7 linked regions of the Macaca fascicularis genome follow. The protein of the gene in region 3 purifies or fractionates together with the protein of the main gene of each other region. This does not show direct contact. Links are inferred from orthologs where the notes say so. Each region holds a gene or a part of one and is shown on either strand. Other genes may lie near its edges. The genes, in order: TULP4, ASB6, RNF7, RAB40B, RAB40C, CUL1 and ASB1.

The links.
Region 1: the proteins of RNF7 (region 3) and TULP4 purify together in Homo sapiens (co-immunoprecipitation; 3 studies listed by BioGRID and IntAct, with this or other methods). This does not show direct contact. The link is inferred for Macaca fascicularis from reciprocal best matches to the Homo sapiens genes RNF7 and TULP4.
Region 2: the proteins of RNF7 (region 3) and ASB6 purify together in Homo sapiens (co-immunoprecipitation; 4 studies listed by BioGRID and IntAct, counting the BioPlex papers as one, with this or other methods). This does not show direct contact. The link is inferred for Macaca fascicularis from reciprocal best matches to the Homo sapiens genes RNF7 and ASB6.
Region 4: the proteins of RNF7 (region 3) and RAB40B purify together in Homo sapiens (affinity purification with mass spectrometry; 3 studies listed by BioGRID and IntAct, with this or other methods). This does not show direct contact. The link is inferred for Macaca fascicularis from reciprocal best matches to the Homo sapiens genes RNF7 and RAB40B.
Region 5: the proteins of RNF7 (region 3) and RAB40C purify together in Homo sapiens (co-immunoprecipitation; 4 studies listed by BioGRID and IntAct, with this or other methods). This does not show direct contact. The link is inferred for Macaca fascicularis from reciprocal best matches to the Homo sapiens genes RNF7 and RAB40C.
Region 6: the proteins of RNF7 (region 3) and CUL1 purify together in Homo sapiens (affinity purification with western blotting; 5 studies listed by BioGRID). This does not show direct contact. The link is inferred for Macaca fascicularis from reciprocal best matches to the Homo sapiens genes RNF7 and CUL1.
Region 7: the proteins of RNF7 (region 3) and ASB1 purify together in Homo sapiens (co-immunoprecipitation; 3 studies listed by BioGRID and IntAct, with this or other methods). This does not show direct contact. The link is inferred for Macaca fascicularis from reciprocal best matches to the Homo sapiens genes RNF7 and ASB1.

What each region holds. Positions count from the first base shown.
Region 1 is NC_088378.1:66,836,665-66,840,164, reverse strand, and holds part of TULP4 (tubby-related protein 4), read right to left. Parts: intron 2,870-3,500; coding exon 2,726-2,869; intron 1-2,725. UniProt on the Homo sapiens protein: May be a substrate-recognition component of a SCF-like ECS (Elongin-Cullin-SOCS-box protein) E3 ubiquitin ligase complex which mediates the ubiquitination and subsequent proteasomal degradation of target proteins.
Region 2 is NC_088389.1:14,276,215-14,280,458, reverse strand, and holds the start of ASB6 (ankyrin repeat and SOCS box protein 6), read right to left. Parts: upstream 2,801-4,244; 5' UTR 2,649-2,800; coding exon 2,536-2,648; intron 1,384-2,535; coding exon 1,202-1,383; intron 166-1,201; coding exon 59-165; intron 1-58. UniProt on the Homo sapiens protein: Probable substrate-recognition component of a SCF-like ECS (Elongin-Cullin-SOCS-box protein) E3 ubiquitin-protein ligase complex which mediates the ubiquitination and subsequent proteasomal degradation of target proteins.
Region 3 is NC_088376.1:44,567,004-44,571,264, reverse strand, and holds the start of RNF7 (RING-box protein 2), read right to left. Parts: upstream 2,801-4,261; 5' UTR 2,778-2,800; coding exon 2,603-2,777; intron 1-2,602. UniProt on the Homo sapiens protein: Catalytic component of multiple cullin-5-RING E3 ubiquitin-protein ligase complexes (ECS complexes), which mediate the ubiquitination and subsequent proteasomal degradation of target proteins.
Region 4 is NC_088390.1:89,129,968-89,134,161, forward strand, and holds the start of RAB40B (ras-related protein Rab-40B), read right to left. Parts: upstream 2,801-4,194; 5' UTR 2,732-2,800; coding exon 2,590-2,731; intron 1-2,589. UniProt on the Homo sapiens protein: RAB40B small GTPase acts as substrate-recognition components of the ECS(RAB40B) E3 ubiquitin ligase complex which mediates the ubiquitination of target proteins.
Region 5 is NC_088394.1:1,340,285-1,344,289, reverse strand, and holds the start of RAB40C (ras-related protein Rab-40C), read right to left. Parts: upstream 2,801-4,005; 5' UTR 2,214-2,800; intron 2,092-2,213; exon of another isoform or gene 2,062-2,091; intron 1,920-2,061; 5' UTR 1,889-1,919; coding exon 1,747-1,888; intron 1-1,746. UniProt on the Homo sapiens protein: RAB40C small GTPase acts as substrate-recognition component of the ECS(RAB40C) E3 ubiquitin ligase complex which mediates the ubiquitination and subsequent proteasomal degradation of target proteins.
Region 6 is NC_088377.1:190,350,529-190,354,728, reverse strand, and holds the start of CUL1 (cullin-1), read right to left. Parts: upstream 2,801-4,200; 5' UTR 2,677-2,800; exon of another isoform or gene 2,540-2,676; coding exon of another isoform or gene 1,313-2,539; exon of another isoform or gene 810-1,312; intron 1-809. Other genes in the region: uncharacterized protein, read left to right, coding at 1,313-2,539. UniProt on the Homo sapiens protein: Core component of multiple cullin-RING-based SCF (SKP1-CUL1-F-box protein) E3 ubiquitin-protein ligase complexes, which mediate the ubiquitination of proteins involved in cell cycle progression, signal transduction and transcription.
Region 7 is NC_088386.1:134,345,128-134,349,278, reverse strand, and holds the start of ASB1 (ankyrin repeat and SOCS box protein 1), read right to left. Parts: upstream 2,801-4,151; 5' UTR 2,710-2,800; coding exon 2,661-2,709; intron 1-2,660. UniProt on the Homo sapiens protein: Probable substrate-recognition component of a SCF-like ECS (Elongin-Cullin-SOCS-box protein) E3 ligase complex which mediates the ubiquitination and subsequent proteasomal degradation of target proteins.

The sequences.
Region 1 (3,500 bases), on a different chromosome or scaffold from region 3:
AGAGACGTGTCTGCTTGGGGAAAGCTGGCCTGCTCACACAAGTGAGATGGGTTCTTGAGGGCAGCCTGCTGCTTGTCTGTTAGCTAAGGGTACTGTTATAACTTTTCAACTAGCTCACTTTTGAACCTTCTAAACTTGGCACCAGTGCCTCAATGGCACCATCACAGATAATTAAATGTCTGAAGAAGCTTTTTACTGGTGATATTCATAAAACACCCATCCTTTTATGCAGGAAGAGGGCAATGGTACAGGAAAAACCTCCACTGAGGACTCGCAGTGCCTAGGCCTCTGAATTAGGTCTATTCATGCTTACGGGATGGATAGTGTGGCAAGTGTCACGCAAGAGATGTGTATAAGAAATGTATGCATATTAGATTTCTGTAAATAGAACCATGTAAAACGTAGTAGAAAAAACAATGAAAAGAATCTTCTAGTGAATCTGAGTATCACATCATGATGGATCATTTCCTAATTTTTTTTTTTTTTTTAGAGAGTCTTGCTCTGTCGCCCAGACATGCAGTGGCATGATTTTGGCTCACTGCAACCTCCACCTCCTGGGTTCAAGTGATTCTCCTGCCTCAGCCTCCCCAGAAGTTGGGACTACAGACGTACACCACCACGCCCAGCTAATTTTTGTATTTTTAGTAGAGATGGGGTTTTGCCTTGTTGGCCAGGCTGGTCCCCAACTCCTGACCTCCGGTGATCCACCCACCTCGCCTCCCAAAGGGCTGGGACTACAGGTGTGAGCCATTATGCCTGACCTTTATCTGCTTTTTAGCATTTCAAACAGTATGTAAGGTAGAACCACGCTGAATTAAACACTATAAATATATCCTATTTGTACACAGTGAGAGTTTAACAGAGCGCGCGTTTGAACAGTGATCTAGAGACAGGTGCTCAGAGCTGCTGTCTGCACGGCCCTGTTTAAAGTGCACACTGAGCACTCTGCAACTGGCTCCTCTAGGCCCACTGTGCCACCCTGTGGCATTTCCCTTAGAGAAAACTGCCACTGATCCAGAAATCTGAGGCATGGTGTAAGTACTATGTGGCAGCTAGTCTATGATTAGGAAATGTGACACTGGCTGACTTTTCATCAAAAGAACTACAGAATCAAGCCAGCCAGTTTATCAGAAGCTAAGCTGGCCCTTCCTTGGGGGTCTCCTAGTGAGACATAACTCTCCCCTGGCCGCACAAATTTGGGTCTGTCTCACGTTTCCTGTCATTCCTGTTCAGATGCCCTTCGAGAAGCTCTCCTGTCTGTATGAAACACTGATGGCAGGCATCTTCCCCTTTAAGGAAGAAGAGCCTCTTCGCTGAGTCACCATCATTAAATGTAATCCCTGAGACAATATGTTCCCTCCTCTCATTGGGAACCACAGACAATAAGGACAACAGCAGCAACAGCCGAACCTTGGAGAGGGCTGTATTCGTGCATTTTGGGAGAACAGGGAAAGCGTTAAGGGGAAAGTTTAAAAGATACTTCTAATTCCAAGATTCTCAAGTAAAAGGGGATGCACTAGAAAGCTCAGGTATGGGAGGCTTCACCAAACTACAGGTATTTATGTGGTTGTAAGCTTGGCCTATTAGGACCACATAAGCCTAGGAGATTTGCTCACCCATGCAGGAGAGGTCACCATCAGAGAAGCAAGATGGCTATTGTTGGAAAATGCAGTAGAAATCATTTTTTTCAGGTAAAAAGACTGGGCTGAGAGAAGGTAAACAATTCCCTCAAGTTCAGAGCCCGACTGAGGAGCAGGGCCCGAGCTGGAATGGGTGGCCCTCTATGTCCACTGTGAGAACCAGTCCCTCGGGTCACAGACATCCAGATACTGGAGAAGTCACGGTCCATGTCCAGGTTCCTCTAGCTCAAAAAATGAAGACTTCCAGAGCCCTGCTTAGTTGGAAGTAGAGGAGTCTGTGTATCTATAAAATCTCAGGTGGTCTTTTACTTAGAAAAGCAAGTTATTTTCAAGTACCCTCTAGCAACTGAAATAGTTACACACACTAACTGGCCAGACTAACTGGAAGTCACTGTAATCCATTAATCAACATAGGATCCTTTAAGAATCCCCCCGCCAGGAAACACACTAACTTAAAATGCTATATATATTGATATTTACCATCTGAAAACTGGAATTTAAAAATCGTATACCAGATTTTATCTTGAACTCAGGCCAGGGTCCTGTGCACGGAGACATGTGGTTGCAGTGGAGGAGATGTGGTTACAGGTAAAGGCTTTTGTGTCCTGGACACAGGGCAGATTTGAGAAACTAGACTCTGTGGGCACCACGGGAATGCTGGAATGAGACAGTATCTCAGCAGGGATTGAAAGGATGAAGGCTGGCCTTGATCAATGAGACTGGGTCTCAGTTCTGATTTTATTTAGTTCCAATCAGTCCCACAAACTTACCTGAATCCAGACACATGACTAAGAGGATAGCTGTGAGGATAAAGCCAGATGGTAGAGCTGTGCTCCACAAATACAAGGCACCACTGCCACTGTAACCATCTGTGCTCCAGCAGCCCCGCTCCTGCCAACACTGGTGCCAACCTGTGACTTTTTCCCCTGGGACACGCCATCATATCTACCAACCTTACTGAGGCAGGAATACCTTTTCTGAACCTAGGGAGCAGACTGAAACCTCAACAACTTGCCACTCTGTTCCCTTTGCACGATCCACTGACAGAGGGACCGTGACAAACAAGTTGATGTATGTGAACACACCTGGTAAATCATCTTCATCTTCACTGAAAACATTTGGGTTGAAGACAGGTAAATTAATATAGTCCATGGAAATTTTCCGAACTTCTGGGAGATAAATGGTCATTTGCCGCGGTTGGAGATGCAGGAGGCTGGTTTTATAGATTACTGGTGGGGAAAAAGAAGGGCACAGTTAACAGAGACACACCAGAGTAGAGCCAAAGTGTCAAGAGAGTCACGGGAAGAAGAGCACACTGCAGTTTCCCTGCCATCAGAAGACAGATCTGTGTAGGCAGGGTCCAGAGGCAGAGAGGAGCTCTTCATTTCTCCCTAGTACTCAGTACGACCATACTAGCCACGGTTCTGGATTCAGTAACAGCAGATTCCTGGTCTAGCTTGGCCTCCTTGCCAGTGGATTGTCTACAGAACTACACATTTCAAATGTCAAAAACATTTTAGACATAAATTATTTCTTTTGGAAAGAGCTAGGGTATAAAAACATATTTTTCAAAAACCTCATTTGCAATCAGAAGGATGATTGAATGGAAATAGTTGTGACAACCAGAGTGCCAAACAAGGGAAGCTTGAGCAACCCAGGAACCGTGTGAAAGCAATGTTGAGATGGGGGTGGCATGGTTTCATATAGGAATAAAACACAGCCTTCATTTCAGCTGGAGCCTTGGCTTTCAATTTTAATCTAATCATCAAGATAGAGATTTATAGGGAATTTCCACACAGTTTTTTTTAAAACCTCAAGATTTAATTTGATTAACAGGGACATTAGGAGAAGGCCCAGATT
Region 2 (4,244 bases), on a different chromosome or scaffold from region 3:
GAAGCTGCTCAGGCCCCTGCCCAACGCTGCTTCAAAACAAGCTGGACCTGGCACTTACCCGGTCCCTCCGATTAATGTCAGCGCCGTGATGCACCAGCAGCTCCACCATGTCCGGCTGGTTCCGCAGGACGGCGATGTGCAAGGCCGTGTAGTAGGTGACTGGATCTGAAGGCACAGATGCAGCTCGTGTGGGTCCTGCCTATCCGTATTCTCATGGGGCCCCTGGACCCAGAGCCCAGCCCCAAACTCCCACCTAAAGTGTCCAGAAGCAGAGGCCCAGCCTCCTGTCACCATCAAGGGTTAGGACAGAGCTGTCCTCACCAGATACTAGAGGGCCCTCGGGGTGTTCTAGTGGGCACACTACTGAAGCTGTTGGGGCTTTAATTTCCTCTTCTGTAAGAAGGGACCATAAAATGGGGCGCGCACTCTCAGAATGGCTGGGAGGCCGCACTACACAGCACCTCCATGGCTGCTCCGCTCTGTAGGCCTGGTGGTAACAGCCACGTTCTCCAAGCTGGTCTCCAAGTCACTGGCTTCAGAACTGGCCCTCCCGTCTCAGCTCCTTGGGCTCCAGGAGCCCAGCAGCCTCCAAGCCTGTCTTTGGATGGGGAAAGGAGACATGCCTGGCTGTCTCAGGCCCCCATTAGGTCACAAGGCAGCCCTGCCTGTCCCCCTACTAACCCTGCCCTCCCTGGGGTGAAAAACAGAGAGAAAGGAGCATGGCTCCATCTCCATCCCTCGCACTCAGAAGCTGGAAGCCAGCGTGTTCTGTGGTGATTTATGCCTAATGCGGCCTGTTTTCCCCTCTCCCTATGGCATGAGGAAAAAAACACAAATTGGCTCAGAGTAAGTGGCAGAAAATTACCTTCCCTTAGCTCTGGGCACAATGCCAGTAGCTGCATTTTCGCATTAATGGAAGTGGGGATTACTCTGGGAGCTGGGGAAAGTTTGCTAATCAATCACATGGTAGAAGCAGCAACACTCGCCCGCCCTTGGAACAGAGGTGGGGAGAGCCATGTGAAAACCCGCAGGATTTGGGAGGCCACCCAATGGGAGATTCCTTAGTCACAGCCACCCAGGAAATAAAGCGGGGGGAAGTCACTCCTCAGAGGATGGTAAAAGCCAAGGCTGGGGACATGGACGCCCACCCGGCGCAGAGCCACGTTTAAGTCGCCTGCCCACCCCCGGGGCTCTCGCTGACCTTCAAAGTTGAGATTGGCCCCATGCCGCAAGAGAACGTCGGCCGCCTGGGTCAGCCCCAGCTCAGCCATCTTGAGCAGGGCGTTGCTCACACCTTCCTGGTAAAAAGGAGAGTGGGCTTTCCTCTCCAGCAGCTCAGTGAGAACAAGGATTCGGTTCTCCTCGCTGGCGACATAACTGGGCCTGGGGCAGAAGAGAGGCTGAGGGTAGGCACAGCTGTGGGACCGGCTGATCGGGCAGCCTGTGGGTTGGTGGGCCTTAGTGTCCTGCTAGAATCATCCGCAAGCAGGGCCCTGGCTCTGTGGGTCACAGAGGCTTGGCAGAACCTCTGAACTAGAGAGAGGGCCAGGCTGCATCTCTTAAGACGGGAGCAGACTCGGATTTGCGGAGAATGGGCTGGGTCTGTCTGCGCTCTCCTCCCGCGTTGCCCAGAGTTTGGTCGCAGACTTGGGTACAAAGCCTCACACACCTGGGCTGCTGGGACTGAAGGGAACCCTGGAGGCCAAGAGCCCAAGCCCGACTTTGATGCTCCTTCCTCAGAAAGCCCTTCACCCTCAAAGCTGTAGGACCCCAGCCCCCGCAACCCCTGCAGCCAGGACAGCAACACAGCCTCCCCGCTCCTCTCACATGGAGGCCTTTAGCTGAAATGATGAAGAAAGCCTACGTTTCCACCCGAGTCCCTGGATGGGGAGACGACTCATCACCACGCGTTGTAAATTCCAACTGACAACCCCCGCAAACACCTGAGCCCCTTCCCTGTGCTCTCTCCTCCCTTCCACCTCGCGTGCCGCCGCACAATTACTTGTCAGTCTCTCCTCTGGAGCACACGCGCCAAGGCGGGGATTTTGCTGAGCCAGTGATGGACCCCAGGCGCCTAGTACCATGGGCAGTGAATGCGGATTCGCTCCCGACACCTTTCCTGCAGGTCCACGACAGACCAGCTCTTGTCTATAAAAACGCAAACTCTGCTACAAAAGCCCACCTTCACACTGCTCTGGGGTAACATCTGAGGCCTCACGGATTCCACCCTGCTCCCCTGCCACGCCGGGGGGTGGCACAGCACAGGCAGGCGACAGGGTGGGGCCGAGGCGCAGGCCCTGCGACACCCCGCGAGCCTCCGCCCTCGGGCCCTCCCTGCCCTTCGCCTCCGCCATGCAAGGGGCGGGAGTGCGATCCGCGCGGGGCAGCGCGAGCTCGGAGCCACGCAACCCCGGCTTCCGCCCGTCCCTTCCTCTGTCAAGGGGGACGCATCCACCCCGCCCGGCTTGTGGTGATAAAGTGGGACGCCGCAGGGTCGGAGCGGCCTCGGCCAGCTCACGGGAGGGGGCGACTTACCGGTCCAGAGACTCCTGCCGCTCGGGGTCCTGGATCCCCAGGGAGCCCAGAATCGCATCCACCAGCGGCTGGTACTCGAAGATGATCCTCCGGAAGCCGTGCAGGAACGGCATCGCCGCAGGCCCCGCGCAGCAGGGCGGTCGCGCTTTCCGCCGAGGCCGAGATGCCCAGACGCCGACCGGAGCGCTCCGGCGGCCGCGGAACCCACCTGCTCCCTTGGACCAGCCCTTGCGCCCGGCCGGGTCCGCTCCTCAGCCCAAGCCGCGCCCCCGCCGGAAGTGACCCTCGTACTTCCTGCCCGCGCCGACTGAGGGTGGCCCGCATGGCGACAGCGCCCCCTGCGGGCTCGGAGGACCTCGGCGCGTCCCAGGGCACGACTGCCAGGCCGACTGGGGCGATGTCCAGTAGGCGGCCCCAGCGGAGTGGGGGAGTGGGGGATCGAGCCCGCCAGATCCGAGACTCAGGCGGGCCTGCCCCTCCCTGCCAGGGCTGGGCCCGGCTCGGCTTCGCCCTGCGATCCTGCCCGCGACCGCTGGGCGCCATCCGAGTTCCGCCGGTCGTGCTCCCCAGCTCAGCCGCTGCCCCACTTGCGCTGGGCGCCCCTGAGCGCTGAGCTCATCAGACAACTGCCCCTTCCGGCTCGGCCTGGCCCTCGCCTTCCCTGAAGAGGGGCTGGGCCACCTCTGTCACCACCCAGCCCGCTGACTGGAATGATGAGGACCAGGGTCCTCGCACGTCCCCTCCTCAGTTTCTTATTATCTGTCCCAGGGAGCACCTGGCCAGGACAGCTGCCAGCTCTCTCCACCTCTGCCTTGATGGACTCAATGAATCTTGTGTATTTTTTAATTTAATTTTATTTTTTTCGAGACGTAGTCTCGCTCTGTCGCCCAGGCTGGAGTGCAGTGGCGTGATCTTGGCTCACTGCAACCTCCGCCTCCTGGGTTCAAGTGATTCTCCTACCTCAACCTCCCGAGTAGCTGGGACTACAGGTGCCGGCCACCACGCCCGGCTAATTTTTGTATTTTTAGTAGAAACAGAGTTTCACCATATTGGCCAGGCTGGTCTCAAACTCCTGACCTCGTGATCTGCCCACCTCGGCCTCCCAAAGTGCTAGGATTACAGGCCAGCCGCCCGGCCCGAATCATGTGTATTTTTTAGAGACAGGGTCTCACTCTGTCTCCCAGGCTGGAGTGTAGTGATCACAACTCACCGCAGCTTCGAACTCCTGGGCTCAGGTGATCCTCCCACCTCAGCCTCCTGAGAAGCTGGGAACACAGGAGTGTGCTACTGCCTGGCTCTGAACTTGGATTTCCTCATCTGTAAAATGGGTATAATCCCCAGCACTTTGGGAGGCTGAGGCAGGCGGATCACCTGAAGTCAGGAGTTCGAAGCTGCAGACCAGCCTGGCCAGTATGATGAAACCCTGTCTCTACTAAAAATACAAAAATTAGCCGGGCATGGTGGCGGGCACCTGTAATCCCAGCTACTTGGGAGGCTGAGGCAGGAGAATCGCTTGAACCTAGGAGGCGGAGGTTGCAGTGAGTGGAGATCGCACCATTGCACTCCAGCCTGGGTGATAAGAATAAAACTCCGGGCCGAGCGCGGTGGCTCACGCCTGTAATCCCAGCACTTTGGGAGGCCGAGGCGGGTAGATCACGAGGTCAGGAGATCGAGACCATCCTGGCTAACACTGTGAAACCCTGTCTCTA
Region 3 (4,261 bases):
TACAAATTAGGAAAATAAGGCTCCCAAAAGTTACGTGAAATATCTAAGGTGATACAGTCATGAAGGGTTACCCTGGCTATTATAACTGGCTCTACTAGCAAACCTATTCAACGCTTTTCATCAGCACTTTGCTCACTATGCAATCATCACTCTTTTCTGAATGAAGGGAGGATAGTGGAAACGAAGATGAGAGTGTTACCCATATCAGAATGGGCTGACAGGCAAATCTTGGGAGCAGAAAGTATAATAAATCACAAGTGTGAGATAAATTCCAAATACTAAGGAAAGGGAACAAAGTGGGTTCTTGTTGCTGAATCTAGGAATCTCTAAATTACGCTTATAGCTCTAATGTAGATTATCAAAACTGACCCAAATCTACACAAATTCCTAAAGTTGCAGATAAAAGATAAAAATTTGCTTTAATGATCTTCCTAGAATCTAAAACAGCACATTTCTAAGGAGTACAATAACACCTTTTAGAAGGGTGCTAGGGTAAAGACTAGGAAGTCTGGAAAAAAAAATTTCCTTCTGCTGTCACCTGACCTCTAAGTGGGTTTTAACACCTCATAAACAAAATACAAAGGTCTAGCCTAGAATACTTTCCTGAACCCAAAGTACAGCTGTTTGCAAATATGCAAGACTGATCCTGTAGTAGCAGAATACTTGCTATAATTAGAAAGTTTATGATGAAATGTGTCATTTATAGCCTATACTTTGACCTACATTAAAATATCTCAGTAAAGTTTATTTGTTGCAAAGTTTCAATCATTATTTCAGGTTATACATTTCCACTTACTGCTTAAATGTTTTTCCTTCGGGGAGGAAATAGCTTTTTGGGAGAGAAATCTTTTGAAAATACCCTTTGGGAACATTATTTTTAAACTGAAAAGGAACTAAGTGAAAGTTTAGTTTCCTTTAAACTAAAGGAAATTTATTTAGGAGATAAAATGTTTAGCAAAACTTGTATTGCAAAAAAAAAAAAAAAAAGTCTCTTGGATCAGTTAAAAAATGCTTCCCAAACTGGAAACTATGATTCCTAAGTGAGGGTAGGGGCAGCTGTACTGCTGGCAAATAAACTAGATACTTTTAAAGCCTAATATGTTTTGTTTGTTTGTTTTTGAGACAGGGTCTCATTCTGTCACCCAAGCTAGAGTATCGTGGCAGTGGCAGGAAAAAGGCTCACTGTAGCCTCGACCTCCTGGGCTCAAGGGATCCTCCCACCTCAGCCTCCTGAGTAGCTGGAGGCCACCATGCCTGGTCACTTTATTTTAATTTTTAATTGTAGAGATAGGGTCTTGCGATGTTGCCTAGGCAGGTCTCAAACTCTTGGGCTCAAGTGATCCATATAAAATAAGTGGGTCATGTCTAATAACAAGGTCTTTCAAAAGTAAAAGGTAAAAATATCTGAATCCAATTGTTGTAAATCCTCTTTGAAACAAGCCCTTAGAATAAAAGACAAAAGAGCATAAATTGAGAAATCTCTTGATTCTGGTAGGTTTAAAGTCTCATCCCCCCTCAAGGACAGCAATTCTCTTTATGTTCTCCAATTCTCTCATTTTTCAAGACAAGTCAGTTTTCAACCTACAGAAATGTCTGTTTTCTTTAACTACCCTCAATAAAGAACTCCACTGAAGATGCTCTCACAGTAATTTTAAATGCCCTATCTGAAAATACAACTTGCATTTAAACAGCACTTGCTTTTCAAAGTGGTCTGAGATCTTAGAACCATATAAAATATAACAAGATTAAGCTGTTCTGAAACATTTTGCTTGGTCTAATATTTTAACTCCAAATATCACAGAAAGAGGACATATTTGTAAGAGGGTTCTCCACAAAGGCATGACTCAGAGCAGGGCAGTATCTTCTCCAGGAAATGACATCCGATATGGAGAGGGGGGTGTAATGGAGGTGAAGTTCTACATTTCTGAAAAAAGGGCTTACAATTCTTCGGCTTCCATGAAACTTAGATATTCTTGAACCACACTGTCCCCTTCAAGCCACGCTAGTGCTATCTGACCCGTCTTAGATCAATCCAGATTTAAAAGCCATTCGAAGAGCGGCGGTAAGCTAATCCGGAAATGCAATGGCTGTGAACACTTCCCTGTGTACCTCGAGGAGAACTAAGGGTGTCGTTTTGTGGAAGATGACTCCGGAGCATCACTTTGATGGTGACCAAGACTATTAAAGTTCACTGCTGAATCACGGCCTTTACTCTGTCCACCTTGCGATGAGCTTTTAGAACAGGGGCTGGCCACACAAACCGAAGTGTTTCCTGCTAGTTCCCAACAATCACCCGGTTTTATTTTCCTGGTCACACCCATCACTACCTGAAATTACCTTGTTTACCTCCGTTTATTGCCCATTTCTCTCCCTAGAACACCAACCACCCGGCGCCGGGCGCCTGTTGCACAACCCCTCAGCCCTCAGGAGCCGCAACAGGATCGTGGCTCCGCGTTCCTCCGGCGCCCGGGCAGGGCGACCTCCACCCACTCCCCAAGGCAGGGGACTTTCCAAGGCTTCTGGCGGGCGCCCGTCCCGTCCCAATCCCGAAGTCGGCTCCCGGAGGCCGCAGCGCGGCCCCGGCCTTGCGTGCAGCGCTTACCCATCACCTGGACCCTGCAGATGGCGCACGTATCGCACTCAACGTCCCAGCTCCACATGGCCACCGCGTTCCACTTCTTGAGGGAGAACATCTTGTCGCCTCCCGACTTGGAGCCTGAGCTCCCGGAGTGAGACGCCAGGGCGCAGGTTTCCTCTCCGTCTTCCACGTCGGCCATGGCGGCGCCGCGGAGCCGACGGCGGAGACGTTGGCTTGGGGTAGGCGGGAGGCTAGGGCGGCTCTGCCGGGCCGCCCGACGGGCCACAGCGCCGCCCGCAGGCCGCAGGCCACCGTGGTGCCCAGACCCCGGCCACCCACGATTGGCTGGCGCGGCCCAGTGACGTCACCGGACGCCAGCGGCGAGGGGGCAGGCAGGCCCCGCCCCCGCCCTCCTGGGGCGACCGAGCGGGCTTGGGGCTGCTCGGGGCTACGCTGCCGAATCCGCCTGCGGCGCTGCGGGGTGTTACGTCTGAGCAGGCGCACAGATTGTGCTGGAATGTGTGTCCTGCTTTATGGCTTCATTAAAACTACTGCTCTCAGAAATAATCTTGTTAATTTACTTGTTTGTCTCTTCCCTCCCAAGTGTAAAACTCTATCAGAGCAGGGAACATGTTCTTATCACCACATTGTCCTCGGTATCTACAAAATGCCTGGCCACAAGAGGCACAATTATTTCTTGAGTGAATTAATGATCTTAAAGATCTAGAAATCTGGCTCAGTGATTCTCAGACTTTTTGGTCTCAGGACTCCTTTTCACTTAAAAATTATTAGTCCCTTAAAGAGCTTTTATTTATGTAGGAAATGTATAAATATATATATACACACACACATATGTATGAATATATATACATATATACAATGAATATATGTACATTCATGTATAATGAATATTCATACATTTCCTGTATATGTATACACACGTACATAGAGATTAATGTTTCTTTTTAAGAAATTAAAACATATTTTTAAATGTATTCATTAAAAATCACAGTAATAACCTCATTAGAGGTTATCATTAGAGGGATAACTTCACATACCATGTAATTTCTAGAAACTCCCGTGTACACTCGTAGAATGAGAGTGAAAAGAGAGAAATAGCTCTAAATATTGTTAGGCAACTAGTTTGCCCTCTTTTGACCCCTAAAAGAGGTCAGGATCCCAGGAGTCCCGGTGTGTGGCGACACAACCCACACGTATTTTTCAGGCCCTGCTTCCTCATCTGCAGAGTCTCCATTCCTTCTGCTCAGTACATTTGAGCTAGTTTAACTTCCTCTTTTTATATGTAGGACTAATGAGGTCCGAAGAAGTGAAATGACAAAGATCACATTGTTATTACAGTAGTGCTTCTACTGCTAGCCCACCATCACATGTGTTTCCAAGAAAGCAGGCATCTCCACTGAAAAGAAAGCAGAAGCACAGACAGCCTAAGGAGATGCCTGATCCCACCGTCACCTAGTGGTGGACACCTACTCTGTCAAGTTTGGATTCTGAGCCTCTCGCCATCCCCTCATCTCCTGATACCTGGGCAAAAGGTAACCAGGCCAATGGAACCTGGCAGGGGAAACAAGAATGCATTAATCTATAGAAACATAAATATGGACGCAGGGTCACATTCGGTTAGATGGAAATGTGTATTTGTTGAGTGGTGTGTTAAGGGCTGTG
Region 4 (4,194 bases), on a different chromosome or scaffold from region 3:
GATCCCAGGGAGGTCAAGGCTGCAGTGATCTGCAATCCTCACCACTGCCTTCAGCCCAGGCAGCAGAGAAGACCCTGTCTCTGAAAAAATTAAAAACAAATCATAATGATCTCAACTTCTTACTATTTTTCAGAGTAACTTTTCTTAACCCTAAAACAAATGTTTGGTAAATAAAAAACCTGCAAGGGTACACCCACGATAGCAGTTTTTTCTACAGCAGCTCAGGCCAGGTTGACAACAAAGCTTTTGGTGGGAGGCGTCTTTTTTTTTTTTTTTTTTAGATAGAGTTTCGCTCTGTTGCCCAGGCTGGAGTGCAATGGTGCGATCTCGGCTCACTGCAACTTCTGCCTCCTAGGTTCAAGCGATTCTCCTGCCTCAGCCTCCCGAGTAGCTGGGATTACAGGCATGTGACACCATGCTCGGCTAATTTTGTATTTTTAGTATAGACGGGGGTTTCTCCATGTTGGTCAGGCTGGTCTCAAACTCCTGACCTCAGGTGATCCGCCCGCCTTGGCCTCCCAAAGTGCTGGGATTACAGGTGTGAGCCACCGCACCCGGCCCGGTGGGAGGTTGTATTTTTAGCCTAAACCCTCTCTCCCTGTCAAGGGAAAGCATTTAGGAGAAAGCATTGGTCCGTTGTTTTGGGTCGTCTTCAGTTCAGCATGTAGCAACCAAAAGTCATGCAGCAGAAGCATCCCTGAGCCGTCGTTCAAACCAACCAGAAGGAAGTTTCACAAACATTCTGTGCGTGGCTCTCCTCACGCATGCCCCATGGCACTCACCTTCAATCAAACTCAACACCGTCAACCGTCTGCTCCCCCAAAACACGCACAGCTCTTACAGGGCCACATTCGTCTGGGCTACACGTTGTCGGGTGCTCTATTCCTCTAGCTCTGGTAGGGTTCATCCCTCACTGAGCCCAGACCCCGAGGGCACCGTGCAGACAAAGCCCCGTCCTCCAGGCGCTCAATCTCCAGGGCAGCGCTGGCCCCCAGACTTTGCCACAGCGACATCCGAACTATCTAGAAATGTGACTAATGGAAGCTTTTTGTTTTGTTTCCTTATAATGACACTTCCACAGCCACACGTGGCTCATGGCATGTGACTGGACACCACGGTCCTAGAGACCTGCCGCTGAGCGGGGAGTGGGGTGGGGACAGGTAAAGACGCAGACTCCCCTCCTGCCCCACGGAGCACACTCTGCACCTGTCGGCTGCGAGAGACTCCCCGGCGTGCTGCAGTTTAAGGAAGCCTCTGGGTGCTGGTCGTGAGCCCAAGCCCATCCCAGCTGCTCCCCCAAACTCCTCACCCCCTTCCCTAAGCTGAGGCGTGGCCGGGCACCTGAGTCTCACCCCACGTTCCACAGTCTCAGGCCACCCCCTCCAGCCGTGCCACGCTCCCCTCCCTTGGTCCTCATGCAGCCTGCCTGGAGCTGCCCGTAGGAGACGGCCTGCACCCTCTACTCTGCAGCCTCAGATCCCGCTTCCTCCCACCCGCTCTGGCAAAGCTCGTCTCTGGCAGGACCCTTCCCAGGCCCCAGAGCTGACAGGGCCTTCCCACCAAGACTCCATCTCCAAGCCTCGGCTCCCCTCCTCCGCCTAGGACCCAGGGGGGGGGTCTCTGTTGGAAGTGTGGGTTCAGCCCCGAGGCGTGGCAGGCAGGTGGGCACAGCGGGGCTCCGTCCACAGCCGCAGGGTCGGCCTCGTCCGCGCGGTTCCAGGGACGCGGGTGGGTGAAGGCCCCGCCTGCTCCTCACTCCCGGCCGAGGTGTCCGCCTCTGCGCATTCCCCCTTCTCCTGGTTCCTGCCTCCGCCTTTCTTTCCCCGGAGCCGTCCACCCCCTCGCCGGGCGCCGGCTTTCAAGCCTCAAACTTCGGGGATCCCCGGGCTGTCTGCCTGGGAGCTCTGTGCGCTGCGGCCTCCCCTCGCCCTGGAACCCCCTCTCCGGCCGCTGTCGTGGGGGGTCCCCTCTTCCGCACGCGAGTCACCTGCGCTCCTTCCTCTCCCCCGGACACGCGGGACCCCTGGCCTCGGGACCGGACCCTGGTCTCCCCTCCCCTCCGATCCACGCGCAGACCCAACACCTGGGAGCCTGCTCGCCGCGCTCCGCCCCAGGCGCCCCGGAGCTCGCGTCCCCTCCCGCCCCTCCCGCCCCCGCGGCCGAACGCGCACGTGCGGACCCGAGTCCTCCCCGGGTCCCCGCGGAGGCGGCCCCAGGTCGGGAGGGGCACAGCGACCGGCCCAGCCGCGGGCTCCCGCTGCGCGCAGACTGCGGAGAAGGATGGAGACTGCGCCGCGGGGGCCTCGAGCGGAACGGGGGTGCCGGGTGTAACAGGGACGGTGCCGGGTGTAACAGGGACGCCGCCGCACGAGGGCCAGGCCGGGCGGAGAAAGGCGAACCGCGCTCCTCCTCAGCCGCGCGCCCCCGGACCCGGACTCCCACCCTCCCCGGGCCCGCGCCCCCGCCTCTTCCCGACCCCTCCCCGGCCTCGTGCCTCCGAACCCGGACTCCCACCCGCACCCCCTTCCAGCCCCGCGCCCCTCCCCGGACCCACGCCCGCACCCAGGCGCGCCCTCCGCCCGCGCTCACCCGCCGGGTGGCCGTACGGGGACTCGGCCGCGCCGTCCTGCAGGCTCGCCAGGATCTCGCCCTTGCCCACGTCGCTGTCGCCCACCAGCAGGAACTTGAGCAGGAAGTCGTAGGCCCGGACCGGGCTGCCCAGCGCGCTCATCGTGCCGGCCCGGCGCCCCAACCCATGCCCGGCCTGCGGGGCTGCGCGCAGAGGCGGCGGCCGGGCCCCGAGAGGCGCCGCGCGGGCCCCGAGTCCTTGCTTGCAGCCGGCCCCGCCCCGCCGCCCAGCGCTGACAGCGCGCAGCCCCGCCCGGCCCCGCCATTGGTGGACCGCAGTTGCTAGGGCGGCTGCGCATTTTCATTGGTGTGGTTGTCCGTCCATCTTACTCTCGTCGCCGCCTCCGGGCTGAAGCCCAACCGCCCCTCCTGGAAGGACGCTGTCGCCGCAGCCAATGGAGGCCCGGAGACGGAGCAGGGGCGGAGCCAGAACAAACAGGAGGCGGGGACTCTGCTCCCGCAGCCAATGGCGAGGCGGGGCGGGGGCGAGTAGGGGGTGGGGCCGAGTGTTTACACTCTCGCGTGCGCCTGTCAGCGCCGCGAACTCGCTCCCACGCCGTCGGGTCTGCACGCCCCGGGTCGGGCGGGGCGTGGGGCCGTGCTGGGTCCCGGCGTGGGGCCTCCCCACCTGCCCACCAGGGAGACCTCCGGTGCCGGGCCGGGTGGGGCTTAGGGGGTCGGTCCAGTTCGCGGACGCGGCCGGAAGGCCCCCCGCAGGCCGCCTCGCCGCAAGAGTCCCTGTCGCCGTAGAATCCAGGCTCGCGGTCTCTCCCCACAGTTCATCCAGGGCCTCGTCCTTGCCCCATTTACGCGGCGTGCCTGAATGCCTGTGTGTGCACATGCGCCTGTGTACGTACGCATGTGTTCGTGTGTGTGCATATCTGCGTGTGCATGTGTGCCTCTGCAGGTGTCTGCACATGTATGTGTCTGCGTGTGCACGTGTGCCTCTGCAGGTCTGCACATGTATGTGCATGTGTGCCTTTGCAGGCATCTTTGCATGTGTGTGTCTGCGTGTGCTGCTTCTGTCTATGCATGTGCTCCTATGTGTGTGTGCACTTGCTTGTTTGTGCATCCATGCATGTGTTTGTGTGTGTGCTGGAGAAGATGGGGTGGGACCCCTCCAGCCTTTAGGCTTCTCTTCTGCTCTCAAGAGCAAGGGGTGCCAGGGCGAGGCCTGCCCTTCGCTCTGAGGGTCTCACCAGGTGCACACTGGTTTATTTGGTGCAAAATTCAGGCAGCAGGCAAGCGGCGAACTCCGTCCAACAAGAAGGATAATGCCTCCCCCACTTCATCCCCTCCACCCTGCGTTGTGTAGGGAACTGCTCTAGACCCCATCAGAAGTTTTTTGGGGGGAGGAACAGAAGAAGGAGCAGAAGAAGAATTACAAAAGAGACTGAAGTCAAGATTATTATATTTGTCATTTGTACTCATTTGGACCTGGAAAATGTTTACTTCGGAATGCCAATTTAGTTTGCATCACCTGTTCTTCTTCATTGATTGATTAGTTGCTTTAGTTACTAATGCAGTCACCTTTTTTTTTTTTTTTTTTTTTTGAGACAGAGTCTT
Region 5 (4,005 bases), on a different chromosome or scaffold from region 3:
CGTGTGAGCCCCCAATGCCCCTGGTGGGCCTTACACTTCCCCCCACCTAAAAATGGACCCAGAGCTCTTCCTCCCTGGCCCTTTTCAACCCCTCCTCCAGGCTGAGGCCAAGAGCACAAGCTTCCAGAGCCCCTGGTGCTGCTGCCCACTGCTGAAGCCGTGCCAGAAGGAAGCGCGCTCAGCGTCAGTCCAGGTAACCCCACACTCTGCCAACCCCTGAGTGAGAAAGTGGGGGATGCTGTGCCCACACTCTCAGCAGCCAAGGGCAGGCGACTCAGCAAACAGCAGACGCTCAGGGCAGCCAGACAGGACAGACAAGAGCCAAGAAACAAAGCAAGGGGAGAGGGCAGGGACCAGGAGAGGTAAGTTGGCCAGTGTAGATGGCATTCCCTGAAGCGCAGATGGACTCTGGGGAGGCTGGATGCTGACTGCTCCCAGTTCATCCGGGGCCACCCAGGTCTTCTGGGGAAACATCCCATTCAGTCCAGGCCCCCATGAGGGGTGATGAGGACCACGCCGTCTCACTGACCCTGTTAACCACTTTGCTATGTTGAATACCTAAATTAAGAGGCACGCTCAGGCAGGCAAGCCCCAGAGACGCGCTCTATCTTGTGTATTTTAGCCATGCAACTGGAAGTTAAAAACAAACGTTCAGGCCGGGCGCGGTGGCTCACGTCTGTAATCCCGGCACTTTGGGAGGCCGAGGCGGGCAGATCATGAGATCAGGAGATCAAGACCATCCTGGCCAACATGCTGAAACCCCGTCTCTACTAAAATACACACAAAAAATTAGCCGGGCGTGGTGGCGCGCACCTGCAGTCCCAGCTACTCAGGAGGCTGAGGCAGGGGAATCGCTTGAACCCAGGAGGTGGAGATTGCAGTGAGCCGAGATTGTGCCATTGCACTCCAATCTGGCGACAGAGTGAGACTCCATCTCAAAAAATAAAAATAAAAAATAAAAAAAGAAAAATACTCAGTAACTCATTACAGAGGTATTTTCTTCCAGCACAAAGTGTTGACTCCCTCAGCTGTAAGTAAATACCTCAGGGGAACAGTCTGCCTATAACGACCTGTCATCTGTGCATGCTCGAGACAGGGTCCCAAGAAGAGTCCACCAGCACCTGCCACCAGACCTGGGTCCCTGACACCTTCCCTCGGACTCCAGATAATCCAAGACCCATGACACCTTCCCTTAGACCCATGATGCCTTCCCCCAGATCTATTACACCTTCCCTCGGACCCCAGATGATCCTAGACCCAACACACCTTCCCTTTGGCCCATGACGCCTTCTACTGGGCCCGTGACACCTTTCCCCAGACCCCAGATCCTGGACCCATGACACCTTCTCTCAGACCCCAGATCCTGCACTCATGACACCTTCCCTCAGGCCCACGACACCTTCCTTCGGACCCCAGATGATCCCAGGCCCATGACACCTTCTCCAGGATCCATGACACCTTCCCCTGAGATCCTGGACCTGTGACACCGTCCCCCAGACCCCGGGTCCATGGCACCGTCCCCGCTGGGCGCGCCCCTCTGGTCCGTCCTCCTGCTCCCCGGCGTCACCTCGGGACTGGAGCCCGGGAACCCCGAAGCCGCCGAGCCACCGGGTCTGGAAGCCAGGCAAAGGCGTTCCTGGGCACGTTCGGCGGCGCTTGGAAGGGTCGGGCCGAGGGCGAGCTCCGCGCCCAGCTCGCCGGGTTCGGGCCCCGCGTAAGCAGCGCGCGCCGCGGGCTGGGCCTTACCGTTACTGTAGGCGTACGGGGACTCGGCCGCGCCGTCCTGCAGGCTCTCCAGGATCTCGCCCTTGCCCACGTCGCTGTCGCCCACCAGCAGGAACTTGAGCAGGTAGTCGTAGCTCTTCACCGGGCTGCCCTGCGAGCCCATGGCCGCGCAGCCCGCGCCCCGCGCCGGCCGCCTGCCGAGGCACCGCCGGGTGAGGCCGCGGCGTGACAGAGCCCGCGCCCCGCACCTGCGCCCGTTGCGTCTGCCCCAGGGCGGCCGAGTGGGCGCGCCCGAAGCCCCGCGCCGGCCCCGCCCCGCCCGTCGCCCGGGCGCACCTCAGCCTCGCCGCCGCCCCGCCGCTTCCCGCACCGCCAGCGCCGCCGCGCTGCCTCGCCCCCGGCCGCGCCGCCGCCATTGGCCACCCTTCGCCCGCCCTCCCAAACCCATTGGCCCATCCTCCCGTCCGTCACGGTTTCCCCGCCCTTACCGCGTCCTACACGGCGCCGCCAGGCCTCCTGTCGCACCGCCTCTTCCACGCCCCGCCCTGCCTTCCCGTCGTCACCATAGGTCGCCCGCCGTTCTCTTTCCCTCAGCCATTGGCCTGTCCTCCCGTCTGTCATGAACGCCCCTCCCTTTCCCACACGGCGTTGCGGAGACAGCGGACGCCGGCCTCATCGCCGTCGCCATTGGCCACTCGCCTCCTGCTTTCCCGTAACCATTGATTCGATTACAAGTTCACCAGGATCATTCCCTTCCCTGCGGCTGCCTCCCAGAGAAATCCCAGAGCCACCGGCCGCCCCGCCCCCGGTCCCCAACGCTGTTGTCCTCGCCCGCCCCCTCGCCGGCCGGCGCCATTGGGCCGCTTGCACGTCCATCACGGCTCTGCTAACCCCGCCCCTTTCCTGCACGCTCGCCAATCAGGGGCTCGGAAGTCCAGGTTGTAGCAGCCCCTTCAACGCGCCGACAGGCGGCAGGATGCAGGCGCGCTCGGGCCGAGGCGAGGCAGCTGAGTCTGGGAAACGTAAGCCCCTCGCAGGCTGCGCCGCCTGCTACCGCAGAAACCTCGGCGGAGGCGGTGGGGTGGTCCTGGGCGTGTCCTCCCCAAGGCCGTGCGGCCAATCGGCGCTCGGCGGGGCGGAACTTCCTTTACGGGGCGGGGGCGGGACTTCCGTCCGGCGGCGGCGGGGCGGACCCTTGGGTCACCACTGAGTCTGCGAAGGCGCTGAGGTTCTGGGACCCCGCGGCGTCACCGAACTTGAGCCTTCCGCCCGGGGACGCGGCCGCCGCAGCTCGGGACGCGGGGAGCGCGGCCTGCGCGAGCTCAAGACCCGGCCTGACGTGCTCACCGCTGCAGCGGCGCCTCCTGGACGGGGACCCAGGGCCCGGACCGCACTCTTCCCGGGGGCGCCGCCGAGCGCTGGTCCCAGCAGGGCCCGGCAGTCGCAGGTGCGTGGGCGAGCGAAGCTGCCGCGTTCGCGGGCCCCGGCGTGGGGTCAGGGGTTGAGTGGGCACGTGGTTCTTTCTGGGGTGACGAAAAGGTCCTACAGTCGTGGGGATGGTCCTTCCGTTCTCGGTGAAGTTACTAAACGTCAGTGACTCTCGCAACGGGTGAGCTTTGTGATACGTGCTCTGCGCTCAGTAACGCTGTTACAGTAGTAAGTAAAAGCAGTAACGTCAGCGTCGACCCAGCGCAGCCCTCTCCAGACCGGGTGCGGAGCCTGTCTCTTCTGCCCGGCCGGCGAGGAGCAGAGCCCGGCAAGAACCCTCCTCCCGAGGGACCCCGACCCGGGTTGTGCCTCCGGGAGCAGGTGCTGTTCACACAGAGGGACGCCAGGACGGGCGGCCCCACACTTCCAGTGACCTCCCGTCCCCCTAGAGCTGAAGACACGGCCTTGACTAAGCGGCGACCACATGGACACACCAGTTTTTTCTTTTTTTTTTTTGGGATGGAGTCTCGCTCTGTCGCCCAGGCTGGAGTGCGGTGGCGCGATCTCCGCTCACTGCAAGCTCCGCCTCCCGGGTTCACGCCATTCTCCTGCCTCAGCCTCCCGAGTAGCTGAGACTACAGGCGCCCGCAACCGCGCCCGGCTAGTTTTTTGTATTTTTTAGTAGAGATGGGGTTTCACCTTGTTAGCCAGGATGGTCTCCATCTCCTGACCTCATGATCCGCCCGCCTCGGCCTCCCAAAGTGCTGGGATTACAGGCGTGAGCCACCGCGCCCGGCCAGTTTTTTCGTTTTTGAAACAGGGCCCCCCTCTGTCGTCCAGGCTGCAGTGCAG
Region 6 (4,200 bases), on a different chromosome or scaffold from region 3:
AATCAGCTCAGGCATGCGTGTCTGTCTTCTGATGTGGTACACACATTAGGAGTGGGGGGTGGGGCTGCCTATAAGGACCTGAGCATGTGGCTCTCAGGGAGGGAGGCTTTCATAAATTGGTGAAAAACCTAGCATATCTAAAGTTAGTTTGTTTTTTTGACAAAACCGTTTTTAAAAGATAAGTCAATGAGAAAAGAAGTTTAACGTATTTAGAAAGCAATTCAGCCATCCCTCTCAAGCTTAAGGAACACTCTCCTGAAACCTCCAAAAATGGGCATAATAGAGTTAAAGCGAGCCAGTCTTACGTTTGCATGCTTTGGAATTTGAAATGCAGCGCAACTATTTCGACTCACCATAGAAAACAACAAATAGAACCTTCAAGTAAAACATTTTTCAATATCCAAAAACCTTCTTTAAACAAAGAAAAATCTCACCTCCAAATATTTTTTCCAAACACAATAACTGGTTTTACATTTTAAACATCATTACATATTTTACTACATAATACACTCTACAAGATTTCAGAAAATCGGGTACATTTTCGTGTGCACCATGAAATGAAGTGTTCAACCTAAAACTGCACACACTTCTGCGAGGCGTTAAGATATGCTTAGGTCCTAGAAGCTCAAGGCTTGAAGTAAAAAAGGAATCTAGTTCCTCTTCTGCCGCTTCGTTAAGTGCATTCCAAAAAGTGTGATCGTTTACTCCACTCAGAACTTTTGACGATTTTAATGCTACTACAAGAAAGAGCAATTACACTGGGCAAATAAATATTTAAGTAGACTGCAATTCAGTATTTGCGCACTTACCACTAACCCCTACTACGAACCAGAAGCAACCAAGAGTGACCCAATCGGAAAAGAGAATCCTCTTTTTGGCAAAGCTAGGCAGAGAGAAAACCTTAACTTTGGGGATTCATTTCAAGGAATGTCTACAAGCATTCCTCTCTCTCTTAATTATCTTATGTCTGCTCTACACAATATTGCACGGGCGGCAGAAACAGAGGTCTTTCAGATCTTGGGGGGAAAAAAGCGCACGACCCCCGAGTCTGAGGACCCCAAGTCCCAGCAGCCTGGCGGGCACACGTTTACCCTCAGGGTCAGGGCGCGCGCTCCCGTTGCGGCCGGGGGCGCGCCGACGCCGCGGCGCAGGGCCCGGCCCGACTCGCGAGCGCTAGGCGGGCGCCGGGGGGCTCTGTCCGGTTCGGCCGCCGGGCTCGCATCCCTGCGCGCATGCCCCGGCCCATAGCCCCAGGAGAACGGGGCAAAAGGGCGACTGTTACCCAATAATAGCGCCCTGCACGTTCGCAACAATGCAGGCAGGGAACCCGAGAGCCGCGGCAGGGAACCGGAAAGCGAGAGAGCCCGGCTCGGCGGCTGCTCCTGCGCGCGAGCCCAGGGCTCACAGGGGAGCACGCGTCGGCCGGAAAGCAGCGCTGGGGAGAAGCGTGGGCGCGAGGGGGCAAGGGCACGGGTCCCGGCGTCCCGCGGAGGTCGCCTCACGAGGCGAGGCGCGGACGTCCGAGCTGCCCCGTGCCACACGTCGGCCCAGCTTCCGAGGGCCCAGCCCGGTCGCGGCGGGGAAAGGTGCCGGCGCCACCAGGCCGCCGCCTCCAGGCGCGATGAATCGGGCTTTTTCCCAGTGCGTAGTCCAGGCCTGGCCGCCCCGGCCCGTCCGGGGTGACTCAGGGCCCGGCCCCGCTCGCTCTCCTGCCGCCCTCGGCGTCCTCTGCCCACGAGTCCCCCGGCCCGGCCGCCATTCCGCCCGGCCGCGTTTCGGCTGCTCAGGCCTCGCCAGGCGCCTGGGCTCGGCCGCCGCGGCCCAAGTCACTGCGACACCGCGGCTCGGGGCCGGGCCTGCGCCGCCGCCGCCACCTCTTCTCGGCCCCGGCGGCTGCCGACACTCACCCGCATCCCTGTGGTGCCCCAAAGGCTCCCGCGACGCCTCCGCCTGGTCGCTGGGCCTGGGCCCCGGCGAAAGCCCCGTCCCGCCAAGGTCTGGCTGCGTCCCTCAGCCACCGGGGCTGCCCCGCCTGGAGCTGCGTGCGACACGGCGCCCGCCTCCTCCTCCTCCCCTGCCCGCCCGGCCCTCCTCCTCCCGCCGCCGCCGCCTGCACCACGCAACCTCCGCCCTCTCGCCTTCCCTCCGCGGCTCCCCGCCCTCTTCGGCCTCACCGGCTCCGGCGACCGCGGGGGAGAAGCTGTTGGGGGAGGGCCGGAACGCACCGCCATCGGCGTCCGGGGCGGGGGAGCCGAGAAACCGTCGTCGCCATCGCCCCGCCAGCCCGAGGCGCGGGAGGGGCCCGGAAAGCTCCCGCCCGCCCGCCGATGCCGGCGGCCCCGGGGGCGCCCCTTCCGCGGCCGAGGCCCCCGCTAGCGTGGGGAGCTTCTACCTGCGAGCCCGCGGCCCCTGCCCCGGACACCCGAGCCATCCCCGACCCGGGGCACCGGATTCTCCGCCAGGTTTTACAGCCTCCCTCGCCTTGGGGCCGCCGCGGAGGACCCCTTCCCGCCACTTCGGACCTCGCGAGCGGGGCTGAGCTGCTTGGGTCGGGGACACCACCAGCCTCTGGAGAAACGGCCTGAAGCACCCCGAAGGAGAGGGGGTCCCAGTCCCCCCGCTCCTCCCCTGTGCGCACACCGCCCCCCCCAGCTGGCCTCGAACCTGACTCCCCACCTTTGTCGACCGGGACTGGGGGATGCACCCTAGATCAGAAAGTCAGAGGTGGCCAGGTGGCCCTCCGAATCGGCGCAGACTTCCGAGGAACCTGCAGCCAATTCTCGATCCCCTTAACACCTGCAAGGCCTTAGGAATCGGCTCCAGAAAGCTCGAGCTTATCTGCGTGTCTCTTTTTAAAAATCACTTATAAGATTAAACCTAACTAGGCTTTCCCTTTCAGACTTTCACTAACTCCTGTTTGGCAAATTTTGACATTCACTCTATCCTTCGTCTTTGTAAGGACAAATCAAGACTTAGAAGGCTTTGATTACATACACGGATGGCATGAGTCGTGATATAAAGTAGTATTGTTTTCACGTGTAGTTCGAAGTCATCTCATTTGAAATTAACTGTCATAATTGGCTATTTGGAATATTCAACCTAAAGCCTATCCGCTGCTGTGGTGACGGGTGGAGGAAGCGTTGTGGAACCCCCACATCTAGTGAGGGGTGGCTTATTAATACCACGGCTCACAGCATAACAGAGCGGCTCATTCCATGAACAACCCCGGGGGGATTTCGAACTCTATCATCTGGGCAAAAGATGTAATGAGTGTAACTTCCTGTTTTCTCCAAACGAAAACACTACACAGATTCCTGTACCACTCTGGGACAGAAATCCTCAGCCAGAGCAGAGGGCCGTCGCCAGAGTCCACACTGTTTCCTGCGTAACGTGGGTTTGTCTCTGAAGAAACATCCCACTGGTGTATGTGATCCCCTCTATTGAAATGTGGTCTTTTATCCACATCTCAGTCTCTCTAGAAGTAATGCATTTGTATGTACTTGTCACTCAGGTATGTAATCCCTTAATTTGTGCGGGATGTTGGGGTGTGAACAATTCTTGGTTTACATCCTACACTTTTGAATAACCTCGTCAAAACTTAGATGTATTTAACGCTTTTTTTTTTTTTTGTGAGCACATGGTAAAGTTGGAAGTAAAAATGGAAGGTTTATCCCTGTGGCCCATGTTTTCCAGTGTACATATGTGGGTTTTTAAAAAAAAAAAAAAGTCCCAATTTCTTCCTTTTACTGGAAACTGCGTTTTTTAGACAACTTAAGCTTCCTATTCCCTAACCAGTCTTCTCCAATCTTACCATTCAATATGGCCTCCTTTTCTGTGACTTCCTCCAGCTGAATAGAAGGGCTGAGTGGGTCAACCTTCCCTTTATTGTTTGTTTCCTCCACCCTCTATTTTTCCTTAATAGCAGTATTTGGTCCATCCACACCACCCTCCCTCTTCTCACTGCCTCCATTCCTGGTTCTTAACTCCTTTCTATTCTTTACTCTCCACCTGCCTACATGATCATTTTTAGCAGCAAATTTATTCCATCGACTTTTATGTCCACTTAACATCCAGATTGCATTTACTTTGCGCAGATAACCTTGTCTCCTACCTCACAGGTCAAGGCCACCTGCTGCTGTTTTCTACTTTAAAACATCCTTCCTCCATCTTTCTCCCCCAGCTCAGCAAAACTGATGTCCC
Region 7 (4,151 bases), on a different chromosome or scaffold from region 3:
ACCCGGGTAATTTTTTGTGTGTGTATTTTTAGTAGAGACGCAGTTTCACCATGTTAGCCAGGATGGTCTCAATCTCCTGACCTTGTGATCCGCCCACCTCGGCCTCCCAAAGTGCTGGGATTACAGCGTGAGCCACCGTGCCCTGCCTATTACACTCTTAAAAGACCATGGTATCATCATGTAAACGTAACTTATATATGCACTGGGAAACCAAAAATTTCATGTGACTTAGTTTATTGCAGTGTTCACTTTATTACAGTGTTCTGGAACTGAACACGCACTATCTCCAAGGTATGCCTGAATGTGATAAACTGGCATCACAATCAGCGAGAATGGAAGAGTATTCAACAAATGGCGTCTGTACAATTAGATACTTATTAGGAAATAATTGAGTTATTCAACTCACATCATAACCCAAAATAAACTCCTGAAGATTTAAGAGTTTTGTAAAAATAGTTACACAGATTCGTGTGTAAGTAAAGAGCAAAAACTCAGACTGCTTGGATTCAAGTCCCTGCTCTGCCATGCTGTCCTAGTGTGAGACCAGACAGGCAGGTATAAAGCACCCCCTCCATAAGGGGGCTCTTTCCAGATGCTGACATTGTTTTTGTATTAAAATTAAATCTCTTTTGAGTACTACTGTACATGAGACTCAACCACAGGTACAATGGGGGTGATCAGTAAGTGTCCATGGTCTCCGGGGTTTGAGAGTCCATTGAGTTGCTCATGCTGATCCCACAACCAGACCAGCCGCAGATCAACAAGCAGGCATGAACAGCTTTTTAGGCCACCATCCCAACCTTCCTTCAGTAATTATCCTCCCCTGTAATTACTACACAGTTGCAGTTACTATAGGGTGAAAAAGTCCAAAGTCGGAGTGGGAAAGATTCAGGTGTAGGGTAACAACCAACAGGTAAATGGCGGCCACAGGACTTTTGTTGAGCCCTCTTCTGGGCCCCCTCTCCTGGCCTCTGTGCTATCCATTCCCGGCCCTGCTCAAAGCAGACTCAATCTTTCCCCAGCTCCAGATTTAAAAGCAACTTCAAGTTTGTGTTTTGCTGATCAGCTACTCCAAGGACAACTTAACTGCCCCAGAGAGCACTTAAGCTTCAACTGAAAATCTGTTGCCCCTCTACCCCAGCCCTGAAACACACTGAATAACAAAACAGCAGTACATGAGGACATAAAAAGGAGCCCTCAGCCGAGTGTGGTGGCTGCCGCCTATAATCCCAGCACTTTGGGAGGCAGAGGCGGGAGGATCACCTGAGGTCTAGAGTTCGAGATCAGCCTGGCCAACATGGTGAAACCCTGTCTCTACTAAAATACAAAAATTAGCCGGGCATGATGGCCAGCATCTGTAATCCCAGCTACTAGGGAGGCTGAGGCAGTTCAAGTTCAATCGCTTGAACCCGGGAGGCGGAGGCTGCAGTGAGCCGAGATCAGGCCACTGCACTCCAGCCTGGGCAACAAGAGCGAAACTCCGACTCAAAAAAAAGGAGTCCTGTGCAGCTGACAAAGCCCGTGTTTCTTCCCCAGGACCCCTCTCTATACTGGGAAGTAGCTGTTAGTCCTCTTTTTCCCACAAACACCTATCATTCCGTCTTTCACTCTCACAAGAGATGACATCCTAGACCCTAAGGTCCTGGCTGTCTCTGAAGTCAAAGTCAATGCCAACCAAAGCCCAGGATGGTAGATGCTTTGTCTGGCTTGTTCTGGTCACTGCAGTATTCTCTGCTGGGTCTAGCCAACAGCAGGTCTTCAATACAAGTCTGTTAAATGATTGGAAGGAGGTGGGGAGGGAAGGATGGATGGAAAAGCCTGTCTGCACCAGTCTCCAAGTCAATCTTTTGAGATTTTTAAGAAATTCATTGGTTTATTACTAAGAAGGAGAGGGACCCCTCCAAAGACAAATATAGGCATGTAAAGAAAGCCCAGAGCACATGAAACTATTGGCGCTAATGGCAAGCTCAGAAATCCGGCAAGAAGGAACTCCCACCACATCACTGGGAAAGGGGAACCTGTCCTGACCGCTTCCTTCACATCTGCACGGTAGGGACACTTCAAGGTGGAGACTCTAAGTAGGACAGTTATTTCGGAAGGTGGGTGTGGGCCTTTCTGGCTGCCTCCTTTGCTGGTGGGCCAAAGGCCCCTGGACATGCTGTGTCACTGACGAGCTCGCTGGAGACGGCGTCCCCGTCGTCCCTGGTCTGTGCCTGTGGGAGGTGGGAAGGCTGCCCCGCTGTGCCACCAGACACGCCATGGGCGGCAGAATGGTGAAAAGGTGCCTGCCCTCCCTACGGCTACCCTCTGGCTGGCTTTCCTGATCCGTGCGCTCAGAGCTGGAAGGTGGCCCACGTCCTACTTTTGCGGTTGGGTCATGTCAAATCCATATCGGCTAACCGGAGGGAAGTTCCACCGGAACGAAAATCTAGCGCGGGGACGGCACTCGAGGCCGAGGAGCGGGCAGCGCGTCCGTGGTGGGGTCGCCCAGCACTGCGAGCCGCGCTGACCCCCACCCCCGGCCTGCGGGGCGCGGCTCCCTGGCTCCCCCGTGGACCCGGCCAGGACGGGACCAGGACGCAGGGCCTCGGCAGGGACGCCGGAGCCAGCCCTCCGCCATCCCCACAAGCCCCGCGGCCCAGCGGCCGCGCGCACGTTACCTGCGGAGCCCGGCCCTGCCCGCCCGTCTGGGCTGCCGCCCTCCGCCATGGGTGCTTCGGCCTCCGCGGCCGCCCCGGGCCCGCGCGCGCCCCTCGGGCAGGAAGGAGAGCGGCCCGCGACCACTTCCGGCGCCGAGAGCGAGGGGGCCACGTCGGGGTCGCGGCTTCCGGCGGGCGCGCGCCGGCCTCACTGGTTTCCGGGGCCGCGCAGAGGGCGCGCCTCCGCTTCCGGCCTCGCTGCGGAGCCGGGTGCTGGCTGGTCTTGATGTCCGGCTAGGACTTCGCCAGTAATCGACTCTCAGGATGCCAGCCGCGCTGTGGTTTCCCCGCATAAGAAGCCAAGGAGTCAGAAAGCGCGTTGCCTGGGGAAGCAGCCTGGGAATTTCGGTCGGGCGGGCAGTCCCCACCCCACGGACGGGGCGTGGCTTCTCCAGATGTGGGCGGGGCCCCGAGGGCCGTGGCTGGCGGGACCCGGGCCTCGGCCGGGCTGGCTGGGTCCCCGCAGGTGGGCCCTAGCCGCGAGCAGCCCCCGGGAGGGTGGATTGGGAGGCGCGGGGACTGGTGAGGGACCACCGCAGGGCTGAGCGTCATGGCGTGCTGTGGTTTTAGATGAATGCTCCCCCAAATCCCTTCCATGAAGCCCCACAATCAGGTCCGTAGCTGATGACAGCCGGTGGCCGACACGAAGTGCATTGAATAAATGAATGCATTCGTGAACAAGTAATATTTCTTGCACACTCCCAACCTCAAATATCGCAGCGTCGTCCCACCGTGAGTATTGGTGTTGGTCCTTCAGCGTGGATTCCCTTGGCTCCTCCCATTCTCCCCTGCTGTGTTAGCGGGGCCTCATGCAGGAGGAGGATTTGTACACAGCACAGCAGGAGGCTGATGAGGGAGTCCGGAGACCCCAGCAGTCGTGGGCGTGAGCTGCTGGCCCATCCATGTGTACAACATTCCAGACGGGAGTAAGGGAAGCCGCAGGGGCAGCCCTGCAAGTGCCCCCGCTGAAGCTGGCCCTGGGTGGCCCAGACCGGGTGGGCCCACTGGGGGCAGACATGGCAGGCCCTGTGGGGGGTGGAGGCAGGAGTAGGGGTACTTACTACAGTGGTGTTTGGACTTGTTAACAGCAGAAAGCACCACTGGCATGAGGGACAGGTGACTCCGATGATGACGCTGCTAGGCCAGGAGCCAGGAGTGTGCCCAGCCCCTGGCTCCACCACAGCCGCACATCTCAAACTCTTGGAGCTTCAGCAACTCTGAAGCCTGAAACCGACTCACGTGTTGTTGGATGGATGAATGGATAAACGAAATGCCGTCCATCCATACAGTGGACTGGTACTCAGCCTTAGAAAGTTAATGCCGTCCATCCATACAGTGGACTGGTACTAAGCCTTAGAGAGGAAATGCCGTCGTCCATCCATACAGTGGACTGGTACTCAGCCTTAGAAAGGAAATGCCGTCCATCCATACAGTGGACTGGTACTCAGCCTT